Macaca fascicularis: one gene and its partners. Each later gene encodes a partner of the first gene's protein in a complex. Links are inferred from orthologs where the notes say so. Each region holds a gene or a part of one and is shown in the gene's direction. Other genes may lie near its edges. The genes, in order: NMUR2, GNAI1 and NMU.

Region 1 (5,967 bases):
GAAAAATATTTTTGTTAAAAAACAGAAAGAAGTATTTTCCATTTTCCTCAGTGCTAAGTTTATAGTCTGCCACTGTGCACCCTTATAAATTTAATGATCCTTATATCTAAATGAGACATTTTCATTAAACTTTTCCTATTTCATTAGAAAAATATGTTAAAGTGTGTTAATAGTGATTTTAACATCAAAACTTGCCTTTAACTAGAGGGCTCTAATTCTGGCTCTGCAATACCTATTACATGTCTATAATTACTATTAATGTTATTCACCAATTTTTCCTAGTTTTCCATCTTCTGTGCACATGCTAAGACAGCACTTCCTGACCCTGCTGTGGTTGAATGGGTACATATGATTAACTTTGGTCAATGAGCTGTGAGTAAAAGTGGCAATGAGTTACTTACTTTTGGGCTAGAGCCTATAATTACCTACTTAAGACCATCTAGAGCTCTCTTTTCCTCTATCACAATGATAATCAAAATTCCAGAGCGTGACCACTGCATCAGCCTGGGTTTATGAGTGAGTATAGCATGAGACAGACCCTCAATACATTTGAAGTGCAAGAGAAATAAATCTTTATTATTTAAACCAAGATATGTCAATCATTCGTTACAGAAGCATAAACTATCTTAACTTGAAGGACAGCTTATTCTTCAACAAGTCACTTTTCCTCTCTAATTTTTAATGTCATCATTTGATTTAACAAATAAAAGGGAAAAAATTAACATTTAGCGAATATCTCTAAAGTATAAGTTGCTTCGTTATATATAATTTAATTTAGTCTTCTCAATGACTATAAAAGGTATTGTCCCCTGCAAAAATATTCCTAAATCCAAAGAAATCTCTCAACTCCACTACTCAAAGAATCCAAGCCACTACTATGTCTTAGGACTAGCCTCTTACCTACCTTCTGTTAAAATTTCTCCCTCATTAATTCTCCAGTGCAAAATATTTTAAAGACTTCTCCCTGCAGTTTGAATCAGAGGCAAACTCTCTTCCACGGCCTATAAGAGTTTACATGAACTTGCACCTGCCAGCCACTCCAATCTAATCATTCATACTTTGCTGACCACTTATTAAATTCCAGTTATTCTGGTCTTCCTGATATTTTTAAAACATATCAAGCTTGTTTCTGCCTCAGGACCTTTGCACTTGCAATTGCTTTTGCTGAGTAATACACTTCCCTTAGCTCTTTCATGACTGACTCAGCTAAAGCGACATCTGAGATAAGTTTTCTTTCACCATCCTTGATAAATAATGATTTATCAATTACTATCTGAAATTATATTAATTTATTCATTTACTTGTGTGTTTTCAGAATTCCCTACTGTAAGAAAAGCTCCACTAGGGCAGAGACCTTGTCTTGCTTGTACACTGATGTTTCTACAAAGCTTAGAATATTCCCTGGCAAATAGTGAATCCTCAAGAAGTTATTTGTGGAACACAATCGAATCAATGATGCAGATAAGGAAATGAGCCTTTAAGAGTTTGGGTAACTGTCCAACTTTCCTAAATTTCTATGAGTGCTCCTAATTCTGAAGTCCGTTTGCCTTTTGCTTACAGCAAAGCTCTGCTAAGAGACTGAAGTGTCAGGTAGCAGTCAGAGCTAGGCACTGTGCACGTGCCCTTTCAGGCTTTGGTTTTGGATGCAGTCAAAACCAAAAACTCTCGTTAATCATGTTATCACATTAATCCCCAGAGAACCCTGAATTTCCAGTGGAACAAGATAACTTGAGAAATCTATTGATTTCCTGTGTTCATCCTGCTGTACGGCTGACAAGGATTGGTGGAGACTGGTAATCTTTTGCCCACGACCCTACGACTTTGATTTCTATGTCCGCCCAGATTCTCACAACTTTGCAACATGCATTGCTCAAAATGCCCATCCATGAAGTCAGAGTGGTTTCTTCTGTGTCAGCTCTGCCTTCCCAGCTCCTTCCCACTCAGAGAGAGGTCTCCGCCTCCTCCCCTGTTCCCTGACACAAAGCCAGCACTCCTCTCTTCCGGTGCAGCCTGACACACTCTCATTGGCCCTCAGCCTGTGAAGGGGAGGGGCTTGTGTCTTTGGGACTCTTCAAAAGGGATCGGCGGTCCAGGCAGCCTACCTTTGAGGCTGAAACATTCACTCTCTCCCAGCCTTCCTCACTAAGCCTGTGATTTTCCTGACTGCTTTCTCTCTCTCTCTCTCTTTTTTTTTTTTTCCTGGCTCAGCTTGAAACAGCCTCGTACCAGGGGAGGCTCAGGCCTTGGATTTTAATGTCAGGGATGGAAAAACTTCAGAATGCTTCCTGGATCTACCAGCAGAAACTGGAAGATCCATTCCAGAAACACCTGAACAGCACCGAGGAGTATCTGGCCTTCCTCTGCGGACCTCGGCGCAGCCACTTCTTCCTCCCCGTGTCTGTGGTGTATGTGCCAATTTTTGTGGTGGGGGTCATTGGCAATGTCCTGGTGTGCCTGGTGATTGTGCAGCACCAGGCTATGAAGACGCCCACCAACTACTACCTCTTCAGCCTGGCGGTCTCTGACCTCCTGGTCCTGCTCCTTGGAATGCCCCTGGAGGTCTATGAGATGTGGCGCAACTACCCCTTCTTGTTCGGGCCTGTGGGATGCTACTTCAAGACGGCCCTCTTTGAAACCGTGTGCTTCGCCTCCATCCTCAGCATCACCGCCATCAGCGTGGAGCGCTACGTGGCCATCCTACACCCGTTCCGCGCCAAGTTGGAGAGCACCCGGCGCCGGGCTCTCAGGATCCTCGGCGTCGTCTGGGGCTTCTCCGTGCTCTTCTCCCTGCCCAACACCAGCATCCACGGCATCAAGTTCCACTACTTCCCCAATGGGTCCCTGGTCCCAGGTTCGGCCACCTGTACGGTCATCAAGCCCATGTGGATCTACAATTTCATCATCCAGGTCACCTCCTTCCTATTCTACTTCCTCCCCATGACTGTCATCAGTGTCCTCTACTACCTCATGGCACTCAGAGTGAGTATCTAGGCTAGCTGGCTTAAGGCAGCATCCCTTCTGTTTTCACAGGCTCAAAGTTCAGAGAAAAACTTAGAATTGGGGAAATTCAGAAATGGAAGGGAACAGAGGGAAAATAGAATGAGCTCAGATGGGAAATCAAGGCATTAAAGAAATTGCCTCAAATGAGATGAATGGTAACCACCACTATTTATCATTTCCTTCAGCTCGTCTTCTCATATCTAAATAAGATATGGGTTCTCATATCTAAATGTTCCTAAGAACCATCCAGAAAACTTACTTTGGGTAGCAATATGGATACCTCACCCCCAGGAAAATGGGATTCAGTAGGTCTGAGGTGGAGCCTCATTGTAAAAAAGCACATCAGGCGATCTGGGGTGAGGTGGCCACAGCTTGAGAGACTCCTCCGCATCCTGTTATCACTTTCCAGCCCCCGGCCACTGCCTGCGTTGAGATTTTCCTCTACACCAAGTTGGTCTGAGTATAACACAAACTATCAACTATCCCTGACTATTTTATAGTCCCAGATAGGTATTCAGTTTTAAAATCAGACCTTTCCTGTGGCTGCTCTGACCCTTTCATTAAAATGAGGTTGAAACAAAACAAAATAAAACTATATATATATATTTATTTATTTATTTATAGTTATATATAATATATATATAGTCATATATATTAATGACATGACTGAGATAACTTGAGCTTCTTTTGAGCACGTGCAGACTGAGAGATAAGGAAGTAACCAGCACATGAGATAGAGTAAAAAAAATGTGAATAAGAGTTATCTGAAATTAAGAAAAAGATATCACTTATTTTGCAACATATATAATTAGAGGTTCTTTTCCTATGTTTATGGTGATAAACTGATTTCTTTTTCAGAAGGGGGTGTAATAAATTAACTGAGAGAAACTGTTTTTAATAAGGGTAGGAATGAGGCTATGTAATTCCTCTCTGGTATATTCTGCACCCAAATTCATGAAGAGAAAAGTTTTTGACAATGACAATTTTACACCCACTTAAGGGAGGTATTATAGCTTGTGTAGTAAACAGTTATGAGACCATTTAGACTCCCAGATCTACAGCAGACACATAAAATGCCTTTAGGCAAGCCACATGATTCTCCTAGAATTAGTTTTCCCATTTATAAAATGAAAAGGTTACATCAGATCATATCTATGTACCCTCTAGTTCTAACAGTCTATGATTCCTTTTAAAAAAGAAAAAAAAAAAAACAACCTGTGAGGTGAAGCAATGTGAGTTTTAAATGAGAGGACAAGCAGACATCACACTCACATTATTTGCTTTGAGATGGCTCTGACATCATATGTTATATGACAACGAATATACTCCTATTTCAGTCCATCTCTGAGAAGCTGATTGTCAGAAGCGAGTGACCAATGGTAGTCTTTTTGAATACCTATTGTCCCTAAGGTGAATAGCAAGGTCTAAGTAGGAAGAACAAATTCTAAGTGTCACAGACATCTGGGCACAAGAGTAAATCTACTTAGGCAGATAGCTGTGCCAGTCCCCTCCTGGAGGGCTAGCACCTATATTCCCGGAGACATGTACCACCCCGCACTAGCTCACAGCCATGTCTTAAGAATGTCCTGCAATTCTCACTCAAGCGAAAAGACTTCTATACAACTCCAAAGAAAGTCCTATGAGAAACACCCACCCAGAACTTAGTAATATCTCATCTAATACCAAAGAATCACCTATTTTGGGTCAATTTGGGAAAAATATTTAACTTTGAGTAGGAAATGCACATTTCCTCTTCCAATCTGTTACAATCAGTTTCATTGTGTTTTATTATCAAAAGTCCATAGCTACCTTGTATCAAGAGCTAAGTGATAGCTCAAACAGAAGTTTAAAAACCACCCTGGTTTGCTTTGGGTATGTAATGCAACTTTTGATAGCCTGTTTTCAGGAAGGATGAGCTGTTATCCAGGGTACCAGAGGACACCAGGAAAGAAACTAACTGCTTAAAAGTCACTCCTAGAAGAATTTAAAAATCTCTATACTGAAAATCAGGAAAAGTAGACCCTATTCTGTGTCACTGACCTGAGGACCTTTATGTACAATATACCTGTAGCCTGAAATGTTCCTACTGTCTGCCACCACTACCCTTTTGCCTTTCTAACCCTCATTTATTCTTTATGTCATACTTCAATCACACTTCCTCAGGGAAGCTCTCCCAGATTTCCTGAGCATTCCTGTTTCCTGTTGTAGGTGCTCACGACTCAGTGATTTTCCTTCATTACAATTTACAATTCCATACTTATGGATTCCTTAATTAATTTTTTTCTCCCCAACTAGACTGTAAGCTCAGTGAATGAATGAGGCTAAATTACTTCCTTCGTTGCTGGGCTTTAGCTTCTCTACCTTTAAAACAAAGACTTGTAAATATTATCTCAAAGAGATATAAGCAATCCTAATGATTGTTAAGTAATTGACTCTGTTGGAAAGTTTGAAGGTGTGATTGACTCTGGGACCCACTGCTTTCAGAAGGCAGCAAGTCTAAGACTAATGAAATCAGAGGACCAGGGAAGAAGGAGGAAACCCGTATCTGTGCTCATAGCTCAGCATTCAGTCACACTGCATCATTCCAGGACACAGCCACCACTGAGCTGCTCTCCAGGATTTGAACATTATATAGATAGAAAATAGACAATTCTAGGGCAAGTTCCTCCACATCTGGGAGGAAGTTCTAGTGACAGTCTGATTTCGTTCTTACATCTCCTGCATGCTGCATTCATGATTGAGCTAATGAGGATGGATGTATGAATTGCAGCAGAATTCAACCATGCCAACACAGGGTTGCACTGATTTTTTTTTTTTAATAAATAGATTGTGTTAAGATTATAGAGATATTTACACAAAACCTATAATCTTTGTATTCTGAAACTAAGTCCCACAAACTATATAAATGAACATCTGGTGGAGTGATTTCAAGCAGTATAAACAACTGATCAGCATAATGTATCAACC
Region 2 (4,015 bases), on another chromosome or scaffold:
GCTTGTATCATCAGTTCAGCCTCACCTTGGAAAACTCAAGCCCAGTTTTCTCAAATGATTTTTAGATAATAAGATTTCCAGATGAAAACCAGGGAGCATTTCCCAATTTTTAATACATCAAGGAAGATGTTTTTCCTTGCTACCAGTCCCATTTTCTAATCAGTTAACGCTTCCTGTGATATCTGTAGGGGAAAGGTGTAGTGCAATTGACAGGGAGAGATGAGATCTTAAGCCTCTGCTCATTCATTGGGTGCTGAGTAGTAATGCCTCCTGCAGGCCACAGGAACTTATCTCGGGCGGATCAGTTACAGCTGGAAGGATGGGGCCATAGCCCCATAAATGCACTCCTCATTTTATGGGGAAAGAAGCTAAGGCCTGTAAAAACGACATGCCCAGTGGTACAGGAGTTACAAACACGGTAATAAATATTGGCTCAAAATTTGGCATGGAAGCTTATGTGCTGCTCTAGAGGAGATCTGCTATGATGTGGAGATTGGCTTGTTGTGGGTGTGTTTTATTGCTCTTATCATTTAAAAGTACTTTTTGATTATTTGTCTCCCATTTTTTTAGGTTACAAGGAAATCCTTCAAAATGAGTTCTTGTGAAAAACCTGAGAATGGAAGGAAGGAGGGAGGGATAGGAAGAAGGAAAGAGAAGCAAAAGGTAGGAAGAAAGTTGACCTTGTTGCCCTTTCCTAGTCTCCTCCCCCGACTTTCCTGTTCTCCACTGTGCCCATCTCTGGTTTCACCAGGCTCCATTCCTTCCCCAGCTCCCTGTTTCCCACGGCCCTGAAAGCCAGCCGACAGGGATTTGCATTTTGAAAAGCCTTGTGTGGCTGCCGGCGCTGGGCATGCTCAAACGCCCAGAACTGGCTTTTTTCGGCAACTTTGGCAGCTCTCCCACCCCTACCCGAAAGGGCAGGTACGCACAGCTCCGTCGGTGTGAGTAAACGGAAAGAAATTACCCCACTCCCGCCCAGGGCAGAAGGCCACAGGCCCGCGGGTCAGTGTTGTGCTCCGGGGACGCTGCCAGGGGGCGCCGGGCCCTCGGGGGTGTCGCGGCGCCGCGGTAGGGAGCCGGGGGGCGCGCGCGCCCCTCCGAGTGGGCGCTGTCCAAGGGCACGTGCGCGGGCGCGCGCTCTGGGAGTGGTCGCGGGGTGGCGGGAGGGGCGGGGCCGCGGCGGCGCGCGGAGGCCGAGCTCGGCTGGGCTTGGCAAGGCTGCGGCGCGGCCACCGGCGGGAGGGCAGCAGCCACTGTACCCAGAGCTTCAAAACCCCAAACCGGAGACTTGGGGGCGCTGAGCCGCACCGGGAAGCAGAGCCTGGCCGTGAGGAACAGCCGCGCGTTGCTGTCTGCCCCTCTGCGGACGGCGTCTCTCTCGACTCCGCTTAGGAAGTGGTGGGGGTGGCGTGGCCCCCGTCGGGAGGCGTTCGAACGCCCGCTCAGAGAGAGAAAGGATTCCCCTGTGCTTGGAGCCCGCACTCGGGCGCGGAGGGAGCGGCGGCAGGCTCTCGCTCTCGGCAACATGGGCTGCACGCTGAGCGCCGAGGACAAGGCGGCGGTGGAGCGGAGTAAGATGATCGACCGCAACCTCCGCGAGGACGGCGAGAAGGCGGCGCGCGAGGTCAAGCTGCTGCTGCTTGGTAAGGGCGGCCGGGTCGGGGACCCCGGGTTGGCGGGGGACCGGGCGCGGCGCTCCGCGGTGACCGCTGCGCGGCCCTCGGCATTTGGAAACCCGGAGGGAAGGGGAGGAAGCGCCCGAGGAGGCTTCCGAGCGGGAGCTAGGTCAGGCGGTGCGCAGCCGAGGCGGGTCCTCCTCTCCGGGTGCCCGGCCTCCCTCCGCCCCGGCGGGCGAGGACTCCCCGTGGTGGGGCGGGCGCGTCACTTCTCTCGGATGCCTTCGGCGACCCAGCAAAGAGCCCAGGCGCGAGTCCGAGGCGGCGGGTCCTGTGGAAACCCTTTGCTTTGAAGTTTAGCTCAGCCTTACAAAGACGAAGGGGCATTCGTGGCTAGAAAATAACCACCCCCCCACGCCGTCCCCAGCCCCCTCCCGGAAAACCCTTCTTCGTGTGAGGTGTGGGTTGTGTTTCGACTGTGGTTTTCTCATGCCCAGAGTGCCACGTTTGGTGAAATCAGTGCACCTTTTGTGGGGTCTCTGAGATGGGGCTGAAATGTCTTTCCTGTTAACTTCCTATGGCGACTCCTTAAGTGGTCAAGGAGCATCGATTACATTCCGCCTGCGCTGGGGAAAGGCTGCGCTGGATGCTTGATTTTTCTTGCTGTAGGGGCATGGAAGCCACCCAAGTGGGGTTGGGAAGCTTTGCTTTAGTAGTAGGCAAGACTCGAGTGGTGAAAACTGCTGTGAAAGGAGCGAGAGGGTCACGCCAGACAACACGGTTCTCCCTCCGCTGCCACCGTTTCTGATGAATGAGATTTGCCAGGTACACGCAAGGCTTTTATTTGTTCTTCGCACTGTTCTGTTCGTGAAACGCTACGTGGAGGTCTTTTCCAAATGTTTGACAGGGAAGAAAATAAAAAAGAGTAAACCAGGGTTTTCATTGAGGGAAGCAGTAGGAAAATAGTCACAGGTTAAGATTTGTGAGTTAGGGTTTTCTTTTGTTTGCATGTTTTCTTCTCACACTCTAGGTATTTAGATGAAAAATTTCTCAGAATCTTCATTTGCATTTCCAAGGACTGCTTTTATTTTTATACCAGTTATAATAAAAAAGAAATGTTGCACAAACCTGTTTTCAGTAAGCTTCTGTTTCATTGGTTTAATGACTGCAGAAAAAATGGTGGTTTTTTTTTCTACATTACTAGTAGGCTTGGGAGCAGCAAAGTTGGCATGACTAAAAGTAATAATGATCTGAGTCATTTTGCAAGTAAACTGTGAAATAACTTTGCATTTTAAAGACCTGCGTGGCTTTTTTCACCCTCTCGCCCCCAACATAAGTCTTTCTCAGTTAATGCTGTTGCCTAAGTTTTTACATTATTAAGAAATACTGTGTTTTGAGGAGGTTAGTGTATCTGCTTCTCTTGTGAATTGAATGTGAGATAGATATGAAATAAAAGGATTAAAAAGTTTTTTTCTTGCAGTTTTTGCTCTCCTGGTGTGATATGTTGTTTCAGTGTATTTTTGTGTGACTCTTAGTTTGAGCCAGCCATCCACCATGTTTAAAGCAATTGAGAAATGAATCATCTGGTCGTGGTGTTTTGTCCTTTAATTAGGTGACTGTTAGGGATGGACTAGAATAAAGGTCCCAGGAGGAGGCTTTTGCTTGTGTTCAGAAGAGATCAGTGTGTCTTAACCTTAGCACGGTTGGCATTTGGGGCCGGGAAATTCTTTGTTGTGCAGGTTGTTTTTGTGCATTGTAGGATGTTCAGCAGCATCTTTGGCCTCCACTCATTAGATGGTAGTAGCAGTCCCCCAACCTATGAGCTCCAAAAGCGTTTCCACATATTGCTAGAAGTCCTCTGGGGGCAATATACAGCCTTAGTTAAGGACCACTGTTCTAGATTAACACTTAAATATAATTGAATGTATAATATAGAATCAGAAGGTGAATCTTTACAGTCATAGTGAGTTTGGAGAGAGATGTAGCAGAGGCCTTATTTTCAGAAGAAATTATGGAATTCTTATTTCTGTTTTGTTTTTGTTTGTTTTTTTGAGACGGAGTCTTGCTCTGTCGCCCAGGCTGGAGTGCAGTGGCCCGATCTCGGCTCACAGCAACCTTCGCCTCCTGGTTCGAGCCATTCTCCTGCCTCAGCCTCCGGAGTAGCTGGAACTACGGGTGCGTGCCACCATGCCTGGCTAATTTTGTGTTTTTAGTAGAGACCGGGTTTCCCCATGTTGGCCAGGCTTGTCTCGAACTCCTGACCTCAGGTGATCCGCCCGCCTCGGCCTCCCAAAGTCCTGGGATTACAGGCGTGAGCCACCTCGCCTGACCAGAATTCTTATTTCGTTAAACCAGTACTAGCACCATTAGAAATACTTCAGAATGATTTTTAGCAATCT
Region 3 (6,066 bases), on another chromosome or scaffold:
GCTCAGCAGCTTATATCTATAGTCCCAACACTTTGGGAGGCTGAGGCAGGGGGATTACCTGAGGTCAAGCATTCAAAGACCAGCCTGGCCAATGTGGTGAAACTTCATCTTTACTAAAAATACAAAAATTAGCCGGGTGTGGTGGTGCACACCTGTAGTCCCAACTAGGAGACTGAGACACGAGGATCCCTTGAACTGGGAGGGAGAGGTTGGAGTGAGCCAAGATCGTGCCACTGCACTCCAGCCTGGGTAACAGAGTGAGACTCCATCTCAAAAAACAAGAAGGAAAAAAAAAAAAAAGGAAAGAAGTCACACTCACCATATTGACAAAGGTTTCTGCATGAATGAATAGCCATGGAAACGTCATTCATGGTTGGTGGGAATGTAAATTGGTATAACACTTTGGAAAACAGTGTAAAACAGAGATTAGCTAGGTCATCCCCTATGACCTAATGACTCCACTCCTGGGAACATTCCTCAGAAAACTCTTGCACGTGTACACTAGGGGGCATGTACAAGAACGTTCTAAGCAGGCTGGTTCATGCAAGGAAAAAAAAAAAAAAACTTTAATACACAAGTTGTTTATTTTGCTGACTTGTTGGGGATATAAAAAACATTAAGCCCACTGTTTCAGGCTTCTCTGCTCTGGCTGACATTTCACGCTCACACTGGCTGCTGGGACTGGTGATCTTTCAGTGCACCTCTGGGAGACACCAGGAAGAATGTCATAGGGAAGCAGAGCCATGTTCACCTGCTTGCATCCGTAGGTCATTTACATCCTTTGTGCTCTTTTTTTTCTTTTTTTACTACTTTGGGAATAAATCAAAGTACAAGAATCTTGAATCAAATATTTTCTCACCCATCCCTGAACTTGGACCAGACCCTATAATCCAGCCTTTCTTACACGCTTCCTGTGTATAAAGAATTTAAAGAAGGTGGCCATTATTTTTTTACCTAATCTGTCAGGGTTTTACTCCTGCCTCTCTTCGTATTTCTGACAGAGCACTATCCCAATCTGCCTTGTAATTCAGCTATTTGAGTAAGGGTTTAGGGTCCTTTACCAAGTTATAACTTCCTTAGGAGAGAAAGATCCTACTGTCACTAAATCTTGTATCCCCAAAGGTCAGGTCTTGCTTACAGTAGGTTGAGCTGTGTGTGCCTAATACATTAAAACTCTGTATTTAGGGAGAAGTATCTTGGTGGAGTAGAATAGCCAGTGGCTGCCTCACGTGCTGACAGCCCTGAGCAGATTGTTTAATCCCTCTTGGCATCATAAATGAGAATTTCAGTACTTCTACATCCCAGAGATGCCATGAATATTAAATAAAATAACACGAGAAAATGCCTGACGCAAAAGTGCCCCTTCAGAAATGTTAATGTACTTCCTGCCCTTTCCTCGGCGTTCCTCGCCTTTCAAAGGGAGGTCAAATAAGACCGGTTTTCACACACTGGGACCTATGGGGGGGGGGTGGGGTGCGGGGACAGGGGGAGCATCAGGAAAAATAGCTAATGCATTCTGGGCTTAATTCCTAGGTGATAGGTTGATAGGTACAGCAAACCACTATGGAACACGTTTAGCTATGGGACAAACCGGCACATCCTGCGCATGTACCCCGGAACTTGAAATAATAATAATAAAGACGAGGTTTCCCTCTTTCTGTAGAAGGAAATTAGGACTGTATTAGCTGGTGTCCTGGAAGAGGCTGCTTCCTGAACGTTTCCAATCAAGGAAAGTATAGAGATGGAAAGAGGGAGTCAGGTCACGGTAGAAATCAGGATGCAATAGCAGCAGAAATGCATAGAAAAAGGAGTTTCCTTAGGCTTGGAAATCCGTAGGATAACCAGCGCTCCAGAGCTGTTAGAAATGTGTGTGGTCAAGCCCCAGCAGTCCTTTCTTCTTTATCTTTTATTAACAGGCAACTGCATTTCCCTAAGGGGTCTGTGATTTTGCAGGAATTTGGGGGAGGGTAGATAGCATCAACATCACCGTTGAACCAGCACTGCCCTGATATGCACCAGGCATTGAGCTTGGACCTGGGGATAAACCGGGGAACAAAACAGAGGCGCTTCCACAGAGGTGCGTACTAGGGGCTGCCGGAGCTCTAGCAGAGGTGAAGGAGAAAGCGCGTCCCACGCAGACCCAGGAAACCAGACAGCGTCGCCACTACCAAGTTTAAAAACTCAGACGGCCTGGTTTGCCATCTCCATTGTGTTCCCACTCCAGTCCTTCCAAAGGTGTGAATGGTGCATTATTTAAAGTCCATTCTCTTTATCCCAGAGCGAAAATGCGTAGTACTTGGGTCAGAAACTCAGGCCAGAGGGCTCGGGTCCCCCTGCAGGGTGGGGCGCGGGCAGGCAGTGGGGCGGGTGACGCGGGGTAGGCCGGGGGTGGCAGGCGGCGAGGTGACGTGCGGCGGGGACTGCGCAGCCCAGCCCACGTGTGCGCGAGATTTAAAAGTTGTCGGCGCGTCGGGCGCTCAGTTCTGTGTGTGGGCCCCGCGAGCGGCGCTCCAGGGCCGCTGGAGGCACTGCCAGGGCACCAGGTGGAGCACCAGCTCGGCGTGGCGCAGCGCAGGGTCCCTAGCAGCGAGCCTCCCGCAGCCGCCGAGATGCTGCGAACAGCGAGCTGCCCCCCAAGGTCGCCCCCCGGACAGGGGGCCGCGGCGTCCACGCTCCTGCTGCTGCTGCTGCTCGCCTGCTGCGCGGGCGCCTGCAGAGGTAAGACGGCCCCGCACCCGGCCGCCGCCACACCATGCGCGCCTCTCTCTGGCTCCACTCACCACTCTCTCCCGCCCTTTCTTTCACCTTCACTTGGTTTCTGGGACTTCTCTTGGCTTCTCTGGTGCCGCGGGATTTCCCGCCTCCCAGGCACAGATCGCCCCACTAGAGCAACTAGCAACATAGGAGCAAGGGGCCCGGCCGGGGCCGAAATCCCCAGGCCCCGCGCGTTGATGCCCAGCGGAGACCCTGCGCTGGGCCGACTGCGATAGGTGGAGACTGGTAGGGCTCCCTCATCCTCGGGATTTCCAGCCCCGCTGGCCCGTGGAAACGGGTATTAAAATAGTGAACGTTAAAATGCCTTCCCTTTGATTGCAATTATTGAAGGGATTGATGGTCGAAGCAAAACAAGAGTGAGCCTGATACTTCGTCCGCTGAGGCAAGGTAAACTTGGCGAGTGCTCAGCCTGTTTGGTGAGTGAGCTCGTGTTATGTTGACATAAACCTGAGCGGTACAACGGGCCCCACGCGCTAACCGCTTAGAAGGGGGAAGGAGTGGGCTTTGTGTTTTATCGGTTTTCAGGCACTAGATCAGGAAAAGGAATAGAGAACTTCTCATCACACAAAGTTGAAGAGGCAAATGTGCAAGCCAGGCTTTCAGGCAGTGCGACAGCTACAGCAAGTGATGGCAGATGTGATTTGATAACAATAGGGACTTCCTGAGCTTGGCTTAGAGGAAAGAAATAGGAAACGCAAGGTCAGGGAAGGAGATCGGAAGCTTTGGAGACATAGCCGAGCAGAATGCAAACGTTCTGGAGAGATTTGCATGGAGAGATCATTTTCTGGGTTCTCCAAGGGTTACAGCTTACGTTTGCAGGTGGCTTATGGGCACCATTATTCATCCCCAAGTCAGGGGTCCCTCCATTGTCAACCACTGCCTGGCTACATCCATAAATTTTCTAGCTTGGCAGGAGGTTCTCTTAGCTTCCCTCTGCTCTCCAGTCAGTGAGGTAAAAGTGGCAGACTGTTGTGTCATTGTTCAGAACGTTGGGTACTTAAAATCACAACTGCAGAGCCTGTAGTCCAGCCCTCAATTAGAGATGGGGAAATAGAGACCGCTATGCTTTTCCTAATCTATTTATTTTTACTGTTCTCCTCTCATTGTTTTGATTTTGTCCTTTCCTGAGGCATTGGAGGGGTGCGTGTGTGTGTGTGTGTGTGTGTGTGTGTGTGTGTGTGTGTGAGAGAGAGAGAGAGAGAGAGAGAGAGAGAGAGAGAGAGACTCCCCTACTTGAAAAGCAAGATAATTTGGCTTTGAAATCCAGGCAGTCAGAAGCTAGCAAACCCAAACGTTCTCCACATAGCCAGTAGTGATACATTACTTTCTCCCAAGGTAAATGTTCATCTTTTAGGATTTTAAATATATTATTGGTAACTTTGGATGGTAATCTTTATCTGCCTTCTTAAGGATGCAGATAAGCATAGTTTGAAAAGTGACTTTGCTATGTAAAGAAAATGGATTTCTATGCATTTGCATGCTATATGCTTGCAGTGAATTTGGCATCAGTGAATTTTGCATGCAGAGAAATTTGCATCAGAGATAACTGCCTTGGGATGGGTTGGAGAATTTCAGACTGCTGGTGATTGAACAGTATAGAAAGCAGCAGCTGGTTCCTAAAAGAGATGAGTCTTGGTTTTTATTTCCAAAAGAGCATATCTGCTGACATACCAATCGTCTCGTAGATAACCCCAATATTTTTCAAGCAAAAGAATGAGATACTTCCTTTACTACCCAGAAGCCCCCTAGATTGCCCTTTTGCATCTTCATTCCCCTTCAGACCTGCTATGAATACTAAAAAGTGAATTGTATCTCTTTAAAAATGTGGTAGGATGGGGAGAGGGTGAATAGCCATGTGATCTGTCCGAGTCCTGAGTCCCTAAAGATGGCACCGAGGGGGACGTGACATACATAAGCAAAACCCAGAGATTATCTACCATGGTCAATCATCATGCAAGATGCAACTGGATGCCTCAAAAAACAACACAACAAATGTTGCAATGCTAGAGGAAAATAAAAGTGTCATTAAATGCAGCATCCTTGGAAAAAAAAAGATAAAGGGTCAGCCACAGATTCAGTGGATGGAAACAATTTACTATTCAGAGCACACTAGTAAAATAAAGAAGGAAAATAAACACACTAGTAAAATAAAAAAAGATAAAGGGTCATGCGAAGATAAAGGGTCAGCCACAGATTCAGTGGATGGAAACAATTTACTATTCAGAGCACACTAGTAAAATAAAGAAGGAAACTTATATAAGAGGAACACATTTTGGATATCTGCAACAAACTGTTACTTGATTTTGCCTGTGACAATAAGTTATCAAATGGTCAAGACTAAGTTAAGGAGTGTCTTTTCCTGCCCAGGCCTCTTGCTCATAGAATAATTCTTAACGTTCACTTGACAGTAAAGATTTCTCACTTCCCAAACCCACAGTGAAGTACATACTCGCCATGAGAAAAGAAAATTGGCACTACTTTTAGAATAATCAGGTCTGTCTTTCTTATACATAATGTATTTACGGATGTACAAGTTTTTATTTTCAGCAGAGTATACTGTATAATACTGAAGATTTCACTTTGCTAAATAGTAATGAAGTATAAATATCTTGAAGTTTCTCACTGAAACTTATCAAAAACAGTACAGTTATGATACAGGCACTGTCTCTGAAAACACGGAAAGTGATCTAAGTACAGTATTGCTCTTTGACAGTGTGAAGTCCATATCCAGAATGAAAATCACATTGACTCTAATTAACACATAGACAAAGGAAAGAATAACTCCCCCTTACGTTTGGGTTCAGTCATAGGATATTAGTCGTCAGTCTTTTTCTTTTCGTGAGACGGAGTCTCGCTCTGTCGCCCAGGCTGGAGTGCAGTGGCCTCATCTGGGCTCACTGCAAGCTCCGCCTCTTGGGTTCACCCCATTCTCCAGCCTCAGCCTCCCGAATAGCTGTAACTACAGGTGCCTGCCACCATGCCCGGCTAATTTTCTTGTATTTTTAGTGGAGATGGGGTTTCATCGTGTTAGCCAGGATGGTCTTGATCTTCGGACCTCATGATCCGCCCGTCTCGTCCTCCCAAAGTGTTGGGATTACAGGCGTGAACCACTGTGCCTGGCCAGGATATTAGTCGTTTTCTACAAATCATAGAATTTTAAAAAAATTTTTGTCTCTTCTTATCTTTTTTTTTTAACCATGAAACTGTGTTTACATGTTTTTAGAAGGGCCACAAAATGTCCTTTTTCTATTTTATGGAAGTGCCTGGGGCTAAGTTAGGCATAGTGGCCTT

What was found.
Region 2: the proteins of NMUR2 (region 1) and GNAI1 are in contact, whole or in part, in a cryo-EM structure (PDB 7XK8), measured with the Homo sapiens proteins. The link is inferred for Macaca fascicularis from reciprocal best matches to the Homo sapiens genes NMUR2 and GNAI1. Residues at the interface, in NP_064552.3 of Homo sapiens: Thr78, Thr80, Glu143, Arg144, Ala147, Ile148, Pro151, Phe152, Ala154, Leu156, Met239, Leu243, Gln259, Cys262, Arg263, Val266, Leu330, Ser331, Arg333; in NP_002060.4 of Homo sapiens: Glu28, Ala31, Arg32, Leu194, Ile343, Ile344, Lys345, Asn347, Leu348, Lys349, Asp350, Cys351, Gly352, Leu353, Phe354.
Region 3: the proteins of NMUR2 (region 1) and NMU are in contact, whole or in part, in a cryo-EM structure (PDB 7XK8), measured with the Homo sapiens proteins. The link is inferred for Macaca fascicularis from reciprocal best matches to the Homo sapiens genes NMUR2 and NMU. Residues at the interface, in NP_064552.3 of Homo sapiens: Ser42, His43, Gly98, Glu102, Glu105, Met106, Trp107, Arg108, Asn109, Tyr110, Pro111, Thr123, Phe126, Glu127, Asn181, His185, Pro199, Ser201, Thr203, Cys204, Val206, Tyr213, Phe284, Arg288, Phe291, Glu295, Trp297, Ser298, Glu299, Ala302; in NP_006672.1 of Homo sapiens: Glu146, Phe152, Ala153, Ser154, Gln155, Gly158, Tyr159, Phe160, Leu161, Phe162, Arg163, Pro164, Arg165, Asn166.

What each region holds. Positions count from the first base shown.
Region 1 is NC_088380.1:159,246,457-159,252,423, reverse strand, and holds the start of NMUR2 (neuromedin-U receptor 2), read left to right. Parts: upstream 1-2,100; 5' UTR 2,101-2,253; coding exon 2,254-2,979; intron 2,980-5,967. UniProt on the Homo sapiens protein: Receptor for the neuromedin-U and neuromedin-S neuropeptides.
Region 2 is NC_088377.1:141,289,691-141,293,705, reverse strand, and holds the start of GNAI1 (guanine nucleotide-binding protein G(i) subunit alpha-1), read left to right. Parts: upstream 1-1,215; 5' UTR 1,216-1,525; coding exon 1,526-1,643; intron 1,644-2,090; exon of another isoform or gene 2,091-2,441; intron 2,442-4,015. UniProt on the Homo sapiens protein: Guanine nucleotide-binding proteins (G proteins) function as transducers downstream of G protein-coupled receptors (GPCRs) in numerous signaling cascades.
Region 3 is NC_088379.1:78,261,143-78,267,208, forward strand, and holds the start of NMU (neuromedin-U), read left to right. Parts: upstream 1-2,479; 5' UTR 2,480-2,609; coding exon 2,610-2,718; intron 2,719-2,809; exon of another isoform or gene 2,810-3,191; intron 3,192-6,066.